Tribolium castaneum: one gene and its partners. Each later gene encodes a partner of the first gene's protein in a complex. Links are inferred from orthologs where the notes say so. Each region holds a gene or a part of one and is shown in the gene's direction. Other genes may lie near its edges. The genes, in order: fl(2)d-associated complex component, vir and Mettl3.

Evidence for each region.
Region 2: fl(2)d-associated complex component (region 1) and vir share a complex: the UniProt entries of both Drosophila melanogaster proteins name them as parts of the WMM complex. The link is inferred for Tribolium castaneum from reciprocal best matches to the Drosophila melanogaster genes Flacc and vir.
Region 3: fl(2)d-associated complex component (region 1) and Mettl3 share a complex: the UniProt entries of both Drosophila melanogaster proteins name them as parts of the WMM complex. The link is inferred for Tribolium castaneum from reciprocal best matches to the Drosophila melanogaster genes Flacc and Mettl3.

The regions. Positions count from the first base shown.
Region 1 is NC_087398.1:11,170,703-11,177,543, reverse strand, and holds the start of fl(2)d-associated complex component, read left to right. Parts: upstream 1-2,196; 5' UTR 2,197-2,459; coding exon 2,460-3,640; intron 3,641-5,978; coding exon 5,979-6,841. Other genes in the region: calcyphosin-like protein, read left to right, coding at 17-118; Xxylt (xyloside xylosyltransferase 1), read right to left, coding at 515-992, 1,090-1,231, 1,280-1,715. UniProt on the Drosophila melanogaster protein: Associated component of the WMM complex, a complex that mediates N6-methyladenosine (m6A) methylation of mRNAs, a modification that plays a role in the efficiency of mRNA splicing and is required for sex determination.
Region 2 is NC_087394.1:22,053,649-22,060,566, forward strand, and holds the start of vir (protein virilizer), read left to right. Parts: upstream 1-2,956; 5' UTR 2,957-3,040; coding exon 3,041-3,097; intron 3,098-3,145; coding exon 3,146-3,850; intron 3,851-6,918. Other genes in the region: nudC domain-containing protein 1, read left to right, coding at 1,387-1,659; epimerase family protein SDR39U1, read right to left, coding at 1,698-1,895, 1,941-2,617, 2,666-2,696. UniProt on the Drosophila melanogaster protein: Associated component of the WMM complex, a complex that mediates N6-methyladenosine (m6A) methylation of mRNAs, a modification that plays a role in the efficiency of mRNA splicing and is required for sex determination.
Region 3 is NC_087396.1:23,065,970-23,073,072, forward strand, and holds Mettl3 (N6-adenosine-methyltransferase catalytic subunit), read left to right. Parts: upstream 1-2,720; coding exon 2,721-3,302; intron 3,303-3,349; coding exon 3,350-3,797; intron 3,798-4,249; coding exon 4,250-4,842; 3' UTR 4,843-5,046; downstream 5,047-7,103. Other genes in the region: Mat89Ba (nucleolar protein 6), read left to right, coding at 1-918, 964-2,021, 2,066-2,188; protein bcn92, read right to left, coding at 2,239-2,307, 2,357-2,477, 2,521-2,597; PHAF1 protein CG7083, read left to right, coding at 5,098-5,161, 5,328-5,410, 5,458-5,585, 5,631-5,812, 5,870-6,061, 6,134-6,196, 6,456-6,667, 6,724-6,996. UniProt on the Drosophila melanogaster protein: Catalytic component of the WMM complex, a complex that mediates N6-methyladenosine (m6A) methylation of mRNAs, a modification that plays a role in the efficiency of mRNA splicing and is required for sex determination.

The DNA.
Region 1 (6,841 bases):
TAATTAATTTCTGTAGGTAACCCACGAAGAATTTTTTAATTATTATTCGGCCATCAGTGCCTCGATCGACAATGACGGCTATTTCGACCTAATGATGAGACAGGCTTACAAACTGTAATAATGAACCCAGTGCTTTGCAATTTTTGAATTTTTAAATTCACTATTTATAACTCACTGAATACGAAGTTTTATTACTCGAATGTTTCCTGTTGTATTCCTATATTGTAACCGATCTATAGATTTAAATACATGTATTTCGACTATCATGGGATTTTTTTTCAATTCTTAAGAAAACAAATCGAAAAATAAAAAACTGTTTATTTTTGAAAAATACTGTTTTACAAACAAGAAAATAAATGAGTACTTTCACAACCCAGTAATGCACTCGTACCTAATATACCGGGTCATACCACATGATTGTTTGATTGGCAATAACCAATGCTGCCAACTCAAATTTTCCCAAAACTACTAGTGGACGTGTAGAGATTCCACGAATAGATGACCAGTCTTTAATTTATTTTGGAATTTTCGTGTTGCAATTTCCATGTAAAATAACAGCGGGGTGTTGACACTTGAAATAAAAATCAAAAACATCACGGTAGCCATGCTCTCGCCACCAGACGCACAATTGGCGATTGAAACCACAATTTATGGTTTGAATCAAATCAGGATATTCAAACCCTATCAAAGTATAAAAATCCTGGTCACCCAAATGACCTCGAAATTTGTATTTGGACGTGAGATATTGCACAGTTTCATTCCTGATAATTTGGGAATATTCCTTTGATTTTCTTATTGCACTTAAATTAATCAAAACAACACCGGAATTATAGCCCTGGAAGCCACGAGGATGCTGCATATTGCTCGATATCGCCTTGGAATGATAATATTCTCCGAATGTTGAGTTCTTTTTCACTTTATAGGTTTGGAGGACGTGACGGTAGACTGGAGTCAGCTCGGGGGCCAAACCAAAAAGCGCAGTTGGCTTAAACCTATCAAACAGTTGAATTAAATTCCGATCAAAGTGATCTATGACTTCATGTCAGTCACAGGTCACTTTGACCAGAATAAGAAATTTCATAAACTCACTTGTCAAACTCCTCAAACACTAATCGAATATCCTTCTTAAAGTATAAATCACAGTCTAGTAGAAGGGCAGTTCGCTGGGAAGGTGGGGCTATCCGATACAGCCCCAAAGAAATATAGAAAAGTGCGTCGCTGTAGTAAGTACCTGAAGTCAAAACTAGTAATAGTGCAATTAAAAAGTAAGCCTTTTTACCCGGTTTTGAACTAAAATGAGGGGTCATAACGTCGACAATATCACTAATCGCTCTTGCACACGCTTCAACATCATAAAATTTATAAAATATTGCTTTATTCGAATGCGACACCACATCTGATATTTCACCTACTGCTAATTGCTTTGAGCTATTATCAACAATAATATGGAACTTTAAAGGAACAGAACTTATGTTTAAAATATTCTCCAACAAGTTGTGGAATTTATATCTTAACGGCGACCTTTGAGAGACTTTAGTAAATATCAACCAGACATTGTATTCTTTAGGCTTTTTGAATGGCAACAAAAATGTTGCATCGTTAGCAGAACCATCGGAATTGTAATGAAAAAACGTAAAATAAACAACTAATAACGCAGCAATTAAAATTCCAAGTTTTAACAAAAATCGTAGTTTAGGTTTTTTGGGGGCGTACATCGTTAATCATTTCTCTGTTTGTCGCAGGAATTGAACATTTTTTAAGTGTTACATTTCTATTTTTCCTTTACACAATAACACAACACAAACAACTGTCAACATAACCTCTCTTTTTGTTTGAAGACCACATTACGAATTTTGATTAATTTAATTAAATGTGCCTTTATCACTGATTGAACTAAAAATGCGAAAGCTGCTTAATGGAAAATTGGTCTTTAAACAGTGCTTTTAATATTTTTGCTCCTGTTGAAATGTTGGCCGCGACGCTACTGACTTTTTGTCAATAAATAAAAACAATTTGAAACAGACCAAAACTACGAAATTAATATCTAAATCATTCGCAAGTGGGGCATAATCAAAAATATATCATAATAAAGTGTACATTATCGACAGATTTTGAGTTTTAAAATTTTTGTTCCCGTAAAATTTCAGGTTGAGACCGCCACTGGTGTTGTCTGTTAAATGTCAAAAAACTATCACCTGTCAAGTGGCTACATTTTTGCAAAACAAATCGTTCCAGTTTTTTGGGAATTGGCTAAAATCTCGTTTGATTGATCAAAAAAGTGTCCATCGGGCGTTTGCAAGTCGAAATTGTGTTTTTTGGGCGCCATCTGTGCGGCATGATGTAAGGAGGCCCCTAGCCGATAAGCCCACAGTCTCCCATGCCGGCAACGTCAAACGTAAATATGGTAGCGTCAAGTGCTTCGCAATTTTTCCTCCTCACCTCGCGAACTCTGAGTGAAAATGTCTAAACAGGTCAAGCGCAAAATAACCGTGAACCTAACTCCGAAAAGCAAAGAAGTCTCGAAGCCTCGCCCCAGCGTGTTCGAGCGTCTGGGCACCAAAGCCAGCACCAGCCAGGACTTTTGCCACCACTGGGCCCAGAGCGGCACCTGCCCCTACGGAAAAGGCTGCAAGTACTCCTCCACCCACACCCTGATCAGCCCCTCGAAACGGGCGGCCAAGACCCAGCGCAAGGACAATGCAAATAAACGGGTCCATCCCGGAAACCCAGACGAGGATTGGGACCACTGGGACCCGGAGGAACTAGCCGACGCCGACCCTGATGATCTAGAAAAGCGCCGGCAAGAACTGCAAAGAGAACTCGAACTACAAATGAAAATGGAGAACAAAGCCCGGAAAAAGGACAAGAAAACCAAGAAGGAGAGCAGCCCCTCGACCGAAAGCTCGTCATCATCCTCGGACTCGTCCTCCTCAAGTGACGACTCCACCTCCAGCAGCTCCTCGTCCATAGAAACGCGTCGGAAGAAGAGTAAAAAAACCAAAACCAAACGCGACTCCTCCTCATCCTCATCGGAGCGCCCCCCGAAAAAGAAACCAAAAACGAAACGAACATCCTCAAAATCGTCACAACGCACCGACAAAACTAAAAAAACAACTAAAACAGCCCCAAAAGCCAAGTCTCCAACACCGCAACGCAGTCGGAAACAGTCGCAAACACCGCCCCCCAAAATCAAGCCGGGGCTCCCCCCAGCAAAGTCCCCAAGGCCCACGAGTCGGTCAAGCGACCGTAAGGAGAAACACCACACGCCCTCTCCCAAACCTAAAGAAAAGGAGAAGGAGAAAGAAAAAGAGAAAGAACGGGAAAAGGAGAAGGAACGGGAGAGGGAAAAGGAAAGAGAGCGGGAGCGGGAGAAGGAACGCGAACGCGAAAAGGAGAAGGAAAGGAACAAGAAAGATAGGGAGAAGGATGACCATAAAAAGAAAGAGTCAAGGTCGCCGAAACGGGACAGCAGGTCGACGAAAGACACTAAGAAGAGGGATACTCCAGATTCGTCGCATTCAAGGGATAAGAAGGGCTCACCAAGTCGGTCTAAAGGTAGCACGGGGAGCAGTCGAAGGGATCACAAGGGGACGCCGCCCAAGGAGGAGAGAAGTCGGGATAAAAAGGACGATAAGGATAGGTAAGAAACGAACTGTTTTTTAAACAATAAATCATAAAAGCGTAAGTTTTTTTAAAATTTTGTTAGAACTGTCTTCATTGAAGATACGCTTTTAGCAGATTCCCCCTTGCATTGCACTGTATATTGTATATGCGAGAAAGAAGTTCAAAGCAATGTTAGTTATGTATTATGTTTCTTTTAAATAGCACTTTCTATTTTTTGTTTATCACTGCTTTCGTATTCATCAAAAGACGAAAATCTTTCATTTAATGTTTCATTTTCACTTTATTTTCTTCAACTTTTACATATTATTATTTTTATTTTTAGAAATTCTAGCTTTGATTTAATGTTTCCAAAAATCTCACATTTAAATGTTTCTTTTGACCTTCCTGTGGAGTGTAATCTCAAATTCAAAGTTTCCTCTATCTTGAACTGCTCAGAGATTTTACACGTACAGAGTGTCTCAAAATTGGCGAATCCATAGTTCAGAGCATTGTAGAGAATCACTTCAGAAGTCTAAATTTAGAAGAAGAAAAAAAATATTCGGGGCTTTCCCACAAAGATGGGTTTGAAGATCACTCTTTAAATTGCGTTTTTTTTTTAAATGCAGGCTAAAAGTTTTAGTGTTGGTATTTATGGTACCTATGATTGTGGAAAATAATAAAATAAAACAATTTCCCAAAAGTTAGCTTTATTTTGGAGTAAATAAATCTAGAATGCTTCAATTTGATACTGCCAAATTTATTGAACCCTTACCTAAATCATTGTCTACTGAACTATCCACCTTTTCAGTTTTTTTTGAAATTCTAACAATTTTGAAGATGTTTTCACCTTTTAAATACATACTTGTTTGGCTAACATAATTTTTGATTTTATCTAAAAGTTTTGATGGATGGTATCACTGTTAACTTAAGTTTTTTTTAGTGTTGTTATAACTAGCTTAAAAATTGTGAAGTACATTTCCAATTAATAAGTTAAATGAAGCCGTTTCAGAATTTTATAGGTATACTTAGGTTTCACAGTTAGCTTAACTTTGCAATCATTAACTATTATTTATATTAACTAAATACTATGCTACTATTAATAATAAAAACAATTATGAAGTTCTTTACAATTAAAAAAAAACACAGAAAAAAACGTAAGCAAAAAAAAGTAAAAAATGAAGCTCTTGGGATTGGAAATAAAAATTAAAGAACAAAGGTCATAAACCTGACAGAATGCTCTGTGATTGGTAATCAGCATTTACGTTTTATGCAAAAAAATCTTTGTTTTCTAAAACATTTCTTTCATTAATATCTTCTTTCAATGTATTTTTTGTAATTTTAAATCTTTGAAAAAACTTTAAATTGTTAAGGCAGTATTTTTTCTAATTTTTTTCCAATTTTCTTATTCTGGTTTTTTACGAACAACGTGTTTTACTCAGTTTTGTTCGTTGATGTACCTAAGATATTTTTGAATTTTTTTCCATAATTAATGAGTACTGGCACAATAAAATTTTAGTGAAGTGTTATTTCACTTATTTCTTCGCAAAGTTTCACCTTCCTCACATATCAACTCGATCGGATTAAAGTTGCAATGATTGGGGAAAAAAAAACTTTCTTAAAAAAATGGAAATTTTTGAATTTCTTCTTTTTGGAAAATTTATTCGATGTTATTTCGTTTTTGCCGAATGGTGATTTGCAGTGTCCATTACAATTACATTATTTGTTGGAAGAATGGGGAGTAATTTTTCTAAAAACCATTTCAAAGTGTAACATATTTTTTTGGTAATCCACGTTTGCTTTATTTAGCAGAAATTTTATTTTAAAATTTTATTATAAAATAAAAAATAAACAACAACTACAATAACAGTAAATAATAATAAAACAATAACTGTTATTATTCCTTTAGTATTTCTACTCCTTTGCATGTGATTAATTTTTTGCTACACAGTGTCGAACTTTATGATAGTAATTTTTTTCTTAAACTTAATTTTTACGTCTATTTAACTTGAGTGATATTTTATCTGGTAACACAAACTTTTCTTCACAATTTATTGTCGCTGAAACAATTTTTAAATGATAAATATGAGTATTATATTTATCACCTACCTTTGAAATTACATACTTTTTAACAATTGATTCTGACTATTTGAAAAATGATGGGTAGACGTGAGAGAAATTATATAATACCGAGTAATCATTTTAGAATTTATCAAGAAGCATGGAACTCACCCAATGATAAATAACTCACAATCAAAAATGACAAAGCTTAGACAATTTCTTAGGTTGTACGTAATCCGCTAGAGTTTTGTTCGTTTGAATTCGCTATTTTTAAAGTTTGTTTAACTTTGTTAATATTTTATTTCTTCGTCTTTCAGACCTCGCGCCAAGGACCGTCCGAGCGACGACAAATCGCGCAAAGACAAGCGAGATTCGCGCGATCGTGAACGTGAACGTGAGCGTGAACGTCGTCTTGCGCGTGAAGAACGTGAAGCAGCGCGTGAAAAAGAACGCGAAGAAGCACTGGCCCGTTGCCAGGAGCGTCAGCGTGAACGTGAACGTCTCAAGGAGCTCGCAAAGAAAGAGGAAGAAAGGAGAGGACGTGAACGAAGTCGACGTGAAGATCGAGGACTTGATAAACCTTCAAGTGATAGAGTCGAACGCTTATTACCATTGCCTGAAGATCGAGTGCCTCCGAGTCGTAAACATTCGAGCGATCGTCGGGAAAGAGACCGAAGGGAACGCACCCCTGAACGAAGAAAATCGGTTGAGCGCAGGGATGAAAAAGATCGAGGGTATGAGCGGAGTTACGAACGTTCGAGTGATCGTAACTATGATAGGGAGTCACGGGATCGGGACCGGGATTATGGGGCGATCCCAGCGAGGTTACGCGACAGTGAGAGAAGGATTGAGGATAAGGACTATGATAGTCCGTATGATAGAGCGAGACATGATGATCGCAGGTATCTCGATATTGATTATAATGAGAATTCGAGAGAGGAGAGATTGCCGGAATATCCCGAAGACCGACGGTCTAGGCGGGATTTGTGGGATGGAGGACGGGATGAAAGGGATTTAGATTTGGAACATCGGAGATATGCGAGAGAGGATTCAAGGCCGCCAGGTTCTCTCAAAGGAAGGGATTGGGAAACGGATTATCCGGATCATGATTGGGATCGGGCGAGGCGTCCAATAGATTGGGAAGGAAGGGAAAATTGGGATGCTGCCGACCATAAACATT
Region 2 (6,918 bases), on another chromosome or scaffold:
AGCTTTTAGCTTTTATTTTAGAATTCCAAAATTTTTTTCCGCGTTTGGTTTACTCATATTCAAAATAAGTAGCACAGTTGTAAACGCCTATTAGTAGAGCTTCTAATTATAAAAACGGTACCGTTTCATTTAAAAAAAAAATATAATGACGTCATGGTGGCGGTACAATGGCCGCCAAAACTGATCTAGTTCAGTGAAATTTGAGCTCAGTTAAAATGCAAAGTTACCTGTTTTTGCATTTTTTTAAATAAAAAAATTCCGAAATTTACTCTGTAGGTGCTTACACTGTTTTTTTAATTCAGTCATTGCACTGCATTGTTTTTCTAATTTGTTTTGGTTTTTAGAATACATCGTTTTAAGTTCATTTTCTTTTGATTCGTCATAAACTCATAAATTTGTGTAAGCGATTTGTCAGACACGTAATTGTGTACATCTTCATTCTCGGATTCAGATATATTAGGATATTTTTGTTTTTTTACACATTTTTTTTATTCTCTCGTAATTAACTTGTAACCCCATTCTAAAATAAGTATCCAGTTTCATAAAAAATATGCAAAGGGATAAGGAAAGCATTTGAAATTCCAAATACGATTAAAAGTTTTTAAAGATACATGAAAATATATATCACTAATGTGCTTAATGTCTATAGTTTTGTGGAAGGACTTGAGCAAAGATTGCAGAATCCTTGATGCCGGATACTAATAAATGTATTTTTTCTTCATTTTTAGGGTACCTAGTTTTTGCCAAGAACACTATAATAATTATTAGCCTTAAAAATTGCAACTGCTCCAAGTTTTACTTTTTCCTTCCATGCTTAATTTAAATAAATAACATCTTTGAGCATTTAATTTCATTATTCAATAATGTATTAATTAACTAAATCGGACACTTGTTATGGAACGGAGGGAGTATTATTAATATTTTATCTGTTGCCTTAATTTTTTCATCTAATTCTTGATTTTCTATATTTTTATGTTTGAGCATCCGTTCTGACTCTCTAGCTCTTATTTGGAAGTTAATAAAAATATGGAATTAATTTTCTTAAAAAAGGTTCCGCACAAATGCCTCTACCTTTAATGGAAGAACAAAACCGTCGAAGATAGAGTGTTCGGTGTTGCGCAATTTTCAAAGGAAATTTGATTCTTTACAATTACAGCATTTTTACAGTACTTATTCTCGACGTTTTCTCGTTAGTTTTTGCATCTGAGATGCTCTTCAGGGCAATAATTTTTAATTTGTTGGTGTTTTCTAATAATATAATTTCATAATAATATATTTCATAATTCATAATTTTTTAGCTATAGAAAATTAGGTGATTTTGATTTCGGTTCGCCTTGTAGTTTTAGTACTCCGACTTTGAATAATGTTTCTGATTTGGTTTTCTAGGCGTCAAAACAACAAATGAAGTTTTTTGTGGCCTCTCCTGACCTGAGTTACGCCGCTATTTGCGAATCGACCAAACACATTTTTATTTATTGCCAAAATAAAAGCATCGGTTTGAATCAGTTAAGGAATAGAACGACTGGGAAAAGAGTAAACGCATTAGCACAGCAACAAGTCTTCAGTCTACCTTCAAACGAGGAAATTTTAGGGATTTATGCTTCAAATACTTGTTTATACGTGTTGGGAGAAAATTTCATAACGGCACTTAAATTGTAATTTTTTATTAATTTTTGTAACATTTCAATAAATAAGTTTCACTCTTTTGTAACAACTTGCTGGCATGCTGACGCAATATCAGGATATTTATACTGAAACCCTAACGACATTGTCCTCTTTGGCAAGACTTTTTGTCCCTCAGTCAGCATATTAGCCCTTTCTTCACTAAGCAGAACATTCAAGACGAACTTAGGGACGGGAAAAAAAGCCGGACGTCTCAGAGCTTTAGCAAAAGCCTGAAAAACTCAATAAATTACTTACCCAAAATTGCAAAGCCATACGTCTGAAAATTCCTTGTTTGTGACATTTTGTGGAGCCACTCCATTCAGGGTCCCTTCAACTTTATCATTTTTGAGTGCAAATAAAATCAGTCCGGTAAGATCTTCAATGTGTATCCACGGTAAGTACTGATCACCTGGCATGACAGGGCCCCCCAGTCCACAAAAGAACGGCAAATAGAGCTGTTTGATCATCCCTCCGTTTCTCCCCAAAACAACGCCGCTACGGATCGTCACTTGCCTAGTAGGCCCTTTTGGAAGCTTGGCGGCCTTTTCCCATTCATGACAAAGCCGTGAGAAAAAATCAAACTCGGGTTCTACACTCGCTTCATCATATTCTCTGACTTTATCTGCTTTGTAAATTCCAACTCCTGATATGCTCACAAAAACTGAGGGTTTGTTTTGCGCGTTTGAAATTGCTTTAGCTAGGGATGAGGTGGTGTTGACTCTCGAGTTGAAGACGTTTTGTTTAAAGCCGGCGTTCCAGCGCTGTTTCATGTCTAGGACATTTTGTCCAGCTAAATTAATCACAGCTGTTGTTCCTTCGGGAAGTCCGACGTGGTTCAAGTCGTTCCAGGTCATGCGTTGGGGACCCGGCATCCGGGAAATGACGGTAACGCCATACCCTTGTGACTTCAAAGCATTACATAAGTGACTTCCTATGAAGCCCGTACCGCCCCCTTAAACACTGTATTAACTATGTACGTGGTACAGGGGGTGAAACTAACCCACGAGAGCGGTGCCTAAAGCTTTGGACATGTTCGTTGATGAAAAAAATGTGATGGTTGTTTTTAGCCAAACATCTCATAACCTATAACATAAATTATATAAACGTCTCTGTATTATTAAAATATGACTAAATTAATAAGCTAAATATTGAAAATAACACAAACAGTGCGAATAAACGGTAGAAAGCTCATAGAATTAGAAGTTTTTTGTATATTTACATTTTCAAATGACGTTAAGTTGGTGCACCTGTCTCCAAAACATAACCTAAAAGTTTGTTATTGTGTGTGCTAACCACATTTTTCCTCCGAATTTTGTAAACTATCGGTGGTTTTTACGTGTAATTGTGAAAAATATGGAAAACTAACATTTCCAAAATGTCAGACGTGGTCGAATTGCTCTTTTTCGACACTTTTGCCCACGACAACACCGAGGTAAGTTTTCGGCCTTTTGTTTCCTCGCTTACGAGTTTCGTAAATTAGGAGCTAAACTTGGATCTGGTGCAGTTCCCCAAACCCGTGTATGTAACCGAAGTTCGTATTATTCCTCTGGGGGCTCGGGTCCAAGCGGATTTCCCCGGTGGCGTCCGCCTGGGGGCTACAAACCCCAGTCAGTTTCAAATCGAGTTTTTTGTAAATGATTTGGGGAAGCCTGGTGCGAGTACTTTTGAGAGTTTAGGGGGGTTCGAGTATAATCAAAACGGTTGTATCAATTTGAACTGCGTTCCGGAAGATACTGTTAGAAAAATACCCACAGATGGGTTGGTTTTGAGGGGGTGGTACACGACCATCACCCTAGCGGTTTATGGTACTTTGACTAATAACATTACTGAACAAATTATTCAACCTGTTGTGAATCCGGCTTTACCAACGCAGCCCAATACTATAGCAGACGCCCAGCAGATAATTTCAGGAAATAATATTGAAAATGAGTGGAGTCAGGAAAATATCACAAGTGTTCCAATTGAATATAATCAGAATGCCGCCCCGTATCAGCAGGGCTATAATCAGCCTGAGAATTACCCTCAGGAATACAACGAGTATTATAGTGATGTTCCTAAGGACCCTAGGAGTTACCATCACCCTCCTGAGGGAGATTGGGACACGAAGGTGAGACCCAGAAGTGGCGAAAATGACAGGGATAGAGAGCGGGATAGAGACAGGGAACGGACCAGGGAGGGATATCAGGTAGGTCCCAAAACGCAATTGCGGTTCGTGAATTGAAAACCAGGTGAAGACTGAAGAGGTAGTTTTTAGAGCAAGTTTTGTTGTTGTCATCTTAAAAATTTCCAAAATTTTATTTTTAAATGTTATTTTGAGCCAATTTGCTAAAAGCTCGTTTTATAAGTGACTATTTTTTTATTTAAAAAAAAAAAAAGGGAAAAACCTACTTTTCTCATGAAGTTCTGATCAAAGTTAGAAGGTATGACTTCTAGCCAAAAGTTTAGTTATTTCAGGTAGTATTTTGCATGCATTCCATAGAACAGGTAAAAATCACAAATAATGGTTGAAAGTAAAATAATTATTGTAGCGTTAATTTAAGTTAAGTTGACTGTAATTTAGCTCAAAATCGTCCTTCTTTTGTCCTGTTCAGAATGATTTTATTGAAACACGTCGAAAAAATTATCAAATTAAGTCGAGAATTATGTGCTTTTGAGTTGTAAACTCACGTATTATGCGAAACTTCTCTCTAATTCGCCGCAAAATTTTAAAATTATAAGATTGAGAAATTAATTTGTGCAATCCCTCGAAAACTCGAATAATGACGTAACTAGTTTAATAATTGAAGGGGCTATGTATTTGTGATTTTTTGACTTACACAATTATTTACGTGCTTTCAAAGTTTCATTTCGAAAAAATTCTTTATTAGATTTGCAGTTATGTTAGCTAGGTTTTACTAAATTATATATATATCATTATTTATTATTAAACATGTATGTATTTGTTAAACAAGAAAATAGTTAGTTTCAGTTAAAATTAAGTTAAATGTGTACGTTACACTATTTTATAGGTACATAAATTTTGAGCATGATCTTTTTTGAAATGGAAAAAACATACATAAGACTAATTTATTTTTATAGTGTGCAGTTAGATCCGTAAGTGAACAATACCAAATTAATTGTATATACTCCCTTCAACCAATTTGCAACAACTAACTTTTACAAGAAATTTTACAGAAAAATACGAATGTGTGAAGCATATTTTAATTAAACGATATTAAAATAGTCTATATTTGTAAAATTTTCAAAATTCAAAAATTTTCAAAAAAAGTTACATTGCCCCTTCATCTACTAAGCCTGTATTTTTGTCTTTTTCAAATGCTCAAACATATTTTTTTGTTCAAATAATTCCAAAAATTAAGTTCTATTTAATTTGTTACCACAACAAGATAAAATCCTCCCCAAATTTTGGGGCCTAAAACCGCAATGATTATCATGCCCATTGTTGATGATTGCAGTAAGGGATTCTAAAGACAATAATATCTCAATATGTAATGCACGAACTGTGACGCTCTGTGTAGGGCCACTTGCTGTAAACATTAACAGTGACCATGACAGCTTCTGCAGTTTTGAGGAGGTTTTTGTGTTTTTATGAGATAAACATAGCAAATTAGATAAAACTTCACTTGGAGATGGAGCTTGTTAGTACGTTTTTCAGCCCAAAATGGTATTAAAAATCACGAAGGAAGGGTTGACAACGACATTATTTTCGTCTTTTTCATTAGATCATATTTTTGAGTAATAAGCTCATTTTACGATATTTCGCCAAAAATGACGAAAGTCAGTGTTTTGACCTACTAAGGATGATTTTTAGCTTACTGCTAACTTTTTTTTGTGAAACAGCGTTAAAACAGACAGAAAAATTAGTTAATTATGTCGCGAATTACGTTATTTTGAGCTAAAAACTTATTTACTTTACTGAATAATCCCTCTAATGTGGCGAAAAATTTCTACTGAGTGTCGAAAATGGCGTTCTTTTGGTCTGCTACATTAAATTTAACTCGTTTATAAGTGAGAGTCTGTTTTCTTTTTACGAAATAACCCTCAAAATGCCGACCATAACGTTACTAATTTACTTATTATTAAGTATTTTATTTTAGTATTTTCGTCGTTTTCAAAATTTAAATGCCCAAAGTTCAAAAATTTTTCCTAAATACTGGGAGTTCAAAAACTGGCACACCAACTCACTGTTACGTTGTTGAGAAGCATGGGTAGATTTCGGGAAAAATCTTGAAAAAAATCCTAAAGTCATGTTTTAGAAAATCTTCAGCTAAAAACTTTTGTTAATCTCTTCACTGTTCATTATTTTTTAAAGTTGCTATGTTTCATAATAATTAATCGATCCCTAGCACAATGATGGATAATTATATTAAAATTTACTATCATACTTTAGTAGTTTTTTTAATTAAAAAAATTAAATTTGTCAAAAAATCACAATTTGTAGATGTGCCAACACTGGGAATTATTTCCTGGGAAACCGTTACAAAAATAATTTATTTTTATTGTTGATCAAATTATATTCGGAAGTAAAATTACCGTTGGGGGCGCCACTGAGCTAGGTCGAAAACAGTAACCATAAATGGCGGGAAAATGTTTATTTAGATGTTTTGAGCGTTGTACGAATTTTGAGGCTTCACAATTATTACAATGCTTATGCGGAATGACTATTGTATCTTTGGTGTAAGAAACGAATGTTGACAAATTAGAGATGACGAGGAAAACACGAATAACGAATGACTGTTTGGTTCACTTTCTTTATTGGAAAATTATTACAAAGACAGTGAAAAGCCTACCTTTTGGCATAATTTACGTTTAAATGTATCAGCAGTTGTTAATCTTAAATGTAGTTTTGTAGATTTACAGAAGTATTTCATGATTTTTTCAGTGGAAAAATTCTACCTAAAATTCAGACACTTCACTAATTTATTGGTTTCTTGAGCCCAACATGTGCTCGCTGTAATCTATCACTTATAGTCTTTAATTACACAACTGTTTAATAAGACTTTGTAATCAAAATTTAAATCTTTTTCACTTTTTATCCACTTTCAAATTCCAACAGTAAACACTTTATACCACGAAAAACCGCAGAACCAAAGTCAGAGCTAGTATTTACCATCATACACTTTTAAAGTGATTTTCTCTAATGTAAGCAATTAACACTATACACGCAAAATTGTTGAACAATTCATTAAATATCAATTAAATGTGTAATTACTGAAACTTTGTTACTGTTTTCGATATAATTCAAAAGTTATC
Region 3 (7,103 bases), on another chromosome or scaffold:
GTGGTTGTTACAACGTTGCGTCATTTCTCAATTTACAAGTTTATAAAAAAATCAAAAGTGAGTGCGAAATCGCGTTTAAACTCCTAGACGGAGGGATAAATTCGTTCCATTCGCTTTTTATCACGAAATTAACACTCGAGCTTCAGTACGATTTGATTCTGAACGTTAAAGTCGCAAAAATCGGCGAGAAAATGACCGACGATGAGCGGACGAAATTTTTGGGTCACCCGGAACTGTTCGTTATAAAATATATACAGGGTGTGTTAGAAAAGGGGTTAAACAAGCGCGCAACACTCATCGTTCCCATAGTAACAACACAAAGCCAAGTCGATAAAATCACCTTTGGGATTAACTTAGACCAAAGTAATGCGTTTCACATTTTGGAAAAAGGCCCAGCTCTTAATGACCCTCAAGAGCGGGAGTTTAAGGAATTTTGGGGCGATTTGGCCACTGATCGGCGTTTCAAGGACGGTTCTGTGTGTGTTGCTGTTTATTTCGAGACCCAAACAATCAAACAAAGGCGCGAAATAATTAAAACTATTGTTGATTGGGTCATTTGTAAAAAACTGGGCTTGGAGTATTCGCTTCATTACGACGAGTTTGAAGAGCTATTGGTTAATAAGAAAGTGACCGCCCCCTACCCCACCGCAACCAATGAGGATGGCTGTGTGCGAGCAATCGCAGCGAGTGACGAATTAGGCAAAAAATTGCGAAGTCTCGAAATGCCGTTGGCAATCACCGGAGTGCAGGGAATCACCGATGTTTTCAGTTTCACCGATGTATTCCCGCCAATTTCGACCAATTACAGGAGCGGAAGTTTAGTAACTCCGCCCCTGGAAAATAATATAGTCCTCAACGAGAAAAAACGCGGGATTGTGCCAAGATACGTCAAACCAATCGAGTGTGTCTTGCAATTAGGTAATTAACAATTGGTTAAACCACAGTTTGGTAATTAATTTACAGAACACAGCTCAAAATGGCCGAAGAACTTGACCGCCATTCGACATATGAAAACCGCCTTCTATTTAGAAATCGCCAAACAATTGGACAAGAAGCACAAGATCGTAGCAAGCGTCAAGCCGGAATTTCTCGACGTTTTGTACGAAGGTTACGTCTTCAGGTACCGTCTGTACCTGCCCCGGGAGGTGGGGCTTCTGAAGCGCGAGTCGACCAATAACGGCGTGACAACGTACAAGGACACGCCCATGAGCCGGGACATCGAATTGCAATTGGGGATTTTGCCACGTGTTACGGGCGCTCTTAAAGGCATCCAATCACAGTTTCCGAGCTTTGGACCTAGCACCGCCCTTATCAAACGGTGGCTAAGGTCACAACTCATTGACGACTACCACTTTCCCGACCACGTGATTAATTTACTCAACGCTTCGTTGTTTCTCAAGGGGGCTTCGGTGACCCCCCAAGTTGGCTTTTTGCGATTTTTGAAATTTGTTAGCGAGCTTCAGTGCGATATTCAGGCGGTTGTGGTCAATTTCAACAATGAGATTGCAAGTGAGACACTTGCAGAAATCGACTCGAAACTCCTCCAAAATCGCGAGGCTTTGCCCGATTTATTTATCGCAATGCCGTACGACGGCTGTGAGTCTGTTTTTACCAAAAGGGGGCCCTCGAAGTTGGTCTTGCGGAGGGTCAAACAACTGGCAAGTGAGTCTTTGAATTGTTTTGGGCAAATCATCAAAGGAGAGAGTTTTGGTTCAATTAAAAGCTTGTTTATTCCGAATCTTGAGGGGTACGATGTTATTATTCACTTGCGCCCCCTTTTGAACCCCGTACGACACGAACAAGTCACTGGGGACGAGTCCGAGGGGCAAATTGTTTTGGAGGAATTTAACAGAAACGAAAGCACGAAAATTCCAGTCACTGGCTTTAACCCAGTTCAGTTGTATTTGGCCGAACTGCGCAAACATTACGGCGATTTTGCCAATTTTTTCCACGATACGTACGGAGGTAATTTTATCGGGGTTTTGTGGATACCTAAAGCTTTGGAAAGTCGAGACTTCAAGGTGAGATTTTTAGATGTTTTTTGATTTATTACATTTATTTTTAGGTGTCTTATGCAAGCGGGAGGAAACTTGTGAATGGAAAATTGGAGCTGAACGTGGATGCGTTGATTGAAGACTTTTATATTGTGGGAAAAGGCTTAGTCAAGTCAATTGATAAGAAGAAATAAAAAATCAAACAATTACTCTTATTATTTCTAACCATTACAAACCTTACAAATTAGTTTTTTTGGGCCCTCACGTGCTCAATAACCAGTTTTTCGGTGCTATATAATTGACTTACGACCACCTGGAGATAATTACGTCAATTAACCCCTAAACGAATTAATTGTGAATACCTGTCTTTTAATTACATCTAAATTACGAACTCCTTCATCCATTTTTTGCCTAATCACGTCCTGGTCAGTCAATTGTCTATTTTCCCGAAAACTGTCCCTTATCTTCCTTAAGGCATAGTGTCTACAACCCCCAATGAAAAAATCGTTTGCAAAAACGCCCTTACCTGAAGTTATAAGCCGGAAACTTCTTCGACTCGCGAATCAGAGCTTTATACAACTGCAACGCCTGTCTTTTACTCATTTTGCCCCAATTTTACGAAACCGAAAGAACATAACCAAAGAGTTGAGGTTGTGTTAGTTAGCGTTAGCCGTAACCTCAAACATGTGTTAGTTGTGTTTTTTTGGCGGAAAATAGTCTTTTGAAATGTCGGACGCTTGGGAAGAGATCCAAGCTATCAAAAGCAAGCGGAACATCCTGCGCGAACGCCTGGAAAAGCGCAAGAAGGAGCGGCAGGACATCCTTGGTTCGAGTCTCAACTCGTCACCTGTGCACCTGTCCGACAGCCCCCATGCGGGTGGTGTTGGGGGCGAAGATGTTAAAAGACCAGAGGAGGGTGAAATCGATTTGGTGAAAATCGACCCAGAGCTGGAGAAAGAGTTGTTGAAGGCGCTGAGCGAAGTCACTCTTCAGATCCCCACAACTTCGACGGAATTGGTCGATTCGTTGAAATTGACTTTGAAGCGACATGCCTCACATAAGGAAGTTTGCAATTTGTTGCAAAAATTCTCAACTCAGAAGTTGATCACTATCAAGGATTTAGTCAAAGAGGGGAAGAACGTGGTCGAAGTGACTTTTATCGATGTGACTAAAGTTAACGCAATGATTGCGGAGTTTTTGCCTGAACGGGTGAGGGAATCCCTGAAGCGGAAGCGAAACGACTCGGAGAAAAACGAAGACGAAGAGAAGAGGAAAAAAGAGAAGAAGGAACCAAAAGCTGACATCATGGTAATTAACTGATTGATTCTGTCCTTTTAATTAATTAATTTCCCTAGTCTTTACTATCAATGCCCTCAACGAAAGAAAAAGAGAGTAAAAAACTGGGCGAAGAAATTCTAGATCTGTTGAGTAAACCAACGGCCAAAGAGCGTTCGCTGGCCGAGCGCTTCAGGTCTCAAGGGGGCAAACAACTGATGGAGTTTTGCCCCCATGGGACTCGCGCCGACTGCGAACGAAACGGAATCACAGACTGCAAAAAATTGCATTTTAAAAAAATCATACAAAAACACACTGACGAAGCTTTAGGGGATTGTTCCTTCCTTAACACTTGTTTCCACATGGACACTTGTAAATACGTCCACTATGAAGTCGATCGCTGTGGGCAAACGGAGGGCGTAGCCCCGGCCGCCACCGCCGTCTCAGTGGCCCCAAAAGAAAGCACTACCTTGTACCCCCCGCAGTGGGTGCAGTGCGACCTGCGCTATCTCGACATGACTGTCTTAGGTTTGTTTGTCGGTCTTAATAATATTTGCGTTTGGTCGTGACTTCCAAAATTTAAAATCTTGTGAAAAGCTGCCATAATACGTCAAATGAGCCCAGAATTCACTGGAACAAACCGTTTTGCTCTACGACTTTTAGCTTTTGAGTTATAAATTTTTTTGTTGTAGAATTAAAAATTCCTCTTGAAATGGCTACCTTCATTTTTCAGCTCAATTATGGCAAAACTATTCAAAAAAGTGGAACAATTTTGATGGAAATCAATGTAAAATAATCCGGGGAATCGATTGGTGACGAGAAAATCGCCAAATACCCAGTAGTTTTTAAGTTACGAATTTTTTTCATTTTATTTTTTTTTATTTTTTTTGCAATTATCTCGAAAACTGTCGGAGAACGATGATTTTTTTAAATAACTGTTTTTCCCCGACATTTCCGAAAATATTAATGGTTGAATTTAGGAAAATTCGCCGTGATAATGGCGGACCCCCCCTGGGACATCCACATGGAGCTGCCCTATGGGACCATGTCCGACGACGAGATGCGTCAGCTGGGGATCCCCCAGCTGCAAGACGAGGGCCTGATTTTCCTGTGGGTGACAGGCCGTGCCATGGAGCTGGGCCGCGAGTGCCTCCAATTGTGGGGCTACGAGCGCGTTGACGAAATAATCTGGGTGAAGACGAACCAATTGCAGCGCATTATCAGGACGGGGCGCACCGGCCATTGGCTGAACCACGGCAAGGAGCACTGTCTCGTGGGCATGAAGGGCAACCCCCAGAACCTCAACCGGGGACTAGACTCGGACGTGATCGTGGCCGAAGTGCGCGCCACGAGCCACAAACCGGACGAAATCTACGGAATGATCGAGCGACTCTCGCCCGGGACGCGCAAAATCGAGCTGTTCGGGCGCCCCCACAACATCCAGCCCAACTGGATCACTTTGGGGAACCAAGTGGACGGGATCAAGCTGGTCGACGCAGAACTGATCGAGAATTTCAAGAAACGCTACCCCACGGGGAACTGTATGGGGCCCCCCGGTGACACGACCCATTAATTTGTTTATGTTTTGGTGGAGTGGTGGCGACTTTTTGCCTTATTGACTGGTGGTTTAGTGTCTTTAATCGCGTGGAGTTGGGGGGGCATCAGCTGATTTTGACAGATGTCAGGTTTGACAAGATGGCGCTTGGAAGTTTTACGAGTTTTTAGACAAAGGATCGTTCGATTTAAGAGAAAAAGAATAAACAGTTTTGATTTGTTGCTTGTTGTGTATTATTGTTGATTAAAGACTGGTTTTTATTGATTGCGGAAAATGCTGACGCTCAACGTTGTTCCTGAACGTTCTTTGGGCTGTGAACAGTGGGAGTTTATTGTAGGTGGGTTTCCCTTTTCTCTATTATTTTTATTGCGCGTAACATGGTTGACATCGTTTTTGCGATGGGGCGATGTGACGGCCAACACTGAATGGAAATTTGACCCATTTTACGTAACGCTAATTGGTTGGCGACCTTCAAAATGTAATTTCGAATTTTCTCTTTTCAGGAATGCATTTTTCCCAGGCTATTGCAATTATTCAGTCCCAAGTGGGCAACATAAAGAATGTACAAGTCCTCTATAACGATACTGTAAGAAAGAGCGGCCCCAAACCACACACTCACTAACGATTTTTCAGAACCCTTTAGACATAGACCTCGTTCTTAATTTACCCCAGGACGGCATTAGATTATTTTTTGACCCCATTTCACAGCGGCTAAAAATAATCGAAATATACTGTATGAAATTAGTCAAGTTAAAATACTGGTAACGTTTTAGCCCTACGTTCTTTTTTCTCATTTGTTATTCCAGTAACCTCCCATTTAACTCGCCAGAAGTACTGCCATCAATCGAACAAATTGAACACTCATTCGGTGCCACTCATCCAGGAGTATATGATTCGGAGAAGGAGCTATTCATATTGAATTTTCGGGGACTTTCGTTCTATTTTCCAGTCGAATCAAAATTCCAGTCTGGAAACACCCATAATCTGGGTAAGCCGGTCCGGGGTAATATCCAGTGTCAAGTTTATTTGTTACGTGAAATAACAGGTTCTCTCCAATTCCCCCCAGGGAGTTCCCCGCTAGTGTCACGCATGACGATTTACTACGGCTCAAATATCGAGCAGGCCTGCGCCCCCGAACTGCCCCTGTCTTGTTACCACGGCCAATTGTACCTCCAAAAGGCCGAAATTTTGAGGGGCGAGTGCTACACCAGAGGAGTCAAGCTCAGCCTCCTTGCAGGTGTGTGTCAAACTAATCACGAAAATTGATTCTCTGGATGAATTATTGTAAACGGAATGTTCAATATTTTAGTTAACCGCACGGTTATTACCAATAAGAACAAATTAATTAGGCCGGTAAAAGAGATGAGGTTTAGTAAGTTTCAAACGATTTCGCGCTTTTTTCTTTATTATAACAAGGGGGACTGAAATATTAGGAGCATATGACAATTTTTTTTAATTAATTCTCAAAAATAATAAGCCGAAGAAATAAACTCATATTTTTTTTGTACGTAAATCGCCGCCTATTTTAGTCCTCTCTGATTCTAACGCTCTAATTTTGTGTTGTGTTAACCCTTTATTTTAACGCTTGACCCGCAAAAGTTGAATCATCGTTTGAATTAAGCCTATTTTAGGCTCAAACAACCGTCGAATGGACTCAAAAATCCAATTCGACCGTGAGATCCTCTTGGGGCACACGGCCCAAGACGTGGCCACGGCTTTAGGGGCCCCCAATGAAGTCTTCTATAAAAGTGAGGACAAAATGCGGATTCACACCCCCAACGCCCTGCGTCGCGACGCCGACACTAAGAGCGACTATTTCTTCAATTATTTCACGTTGGGATTGGTAATAGTTTCCTTTCCCGTGTAGGTGTCCCATACTTGATTTTTTTTCTCATCAAGGACGTCCTGTTCGATGCCCGTTCGCATTTGGTGAAAAAATTGGTCATGCATACGAATTATCCAGGCCATTACAATTTCAACATTTACATGAGATGCGAATTTAAGTTGGCGCTGAATGGCGCCGATATCGACGCCTACTGCCATTGGGACGATATCTGTAAACAACTGACGCCAAGTGAACGACCGGTTGTCTTAAATAGGGCTAGCTCCACTAATACGACCAATCCGTTCGGGAGCACCTTGTGCTATGGCTATCAGGATATCATCTTCGAGGTCAGTGGCAAAAAAATACTTATCAGGATAAATATTCTAACAAAATTATGTTGGTCAAAGTGGAACTTAAAAAATTGATATTCTGGAAAAATGCTTTACTAACTTTA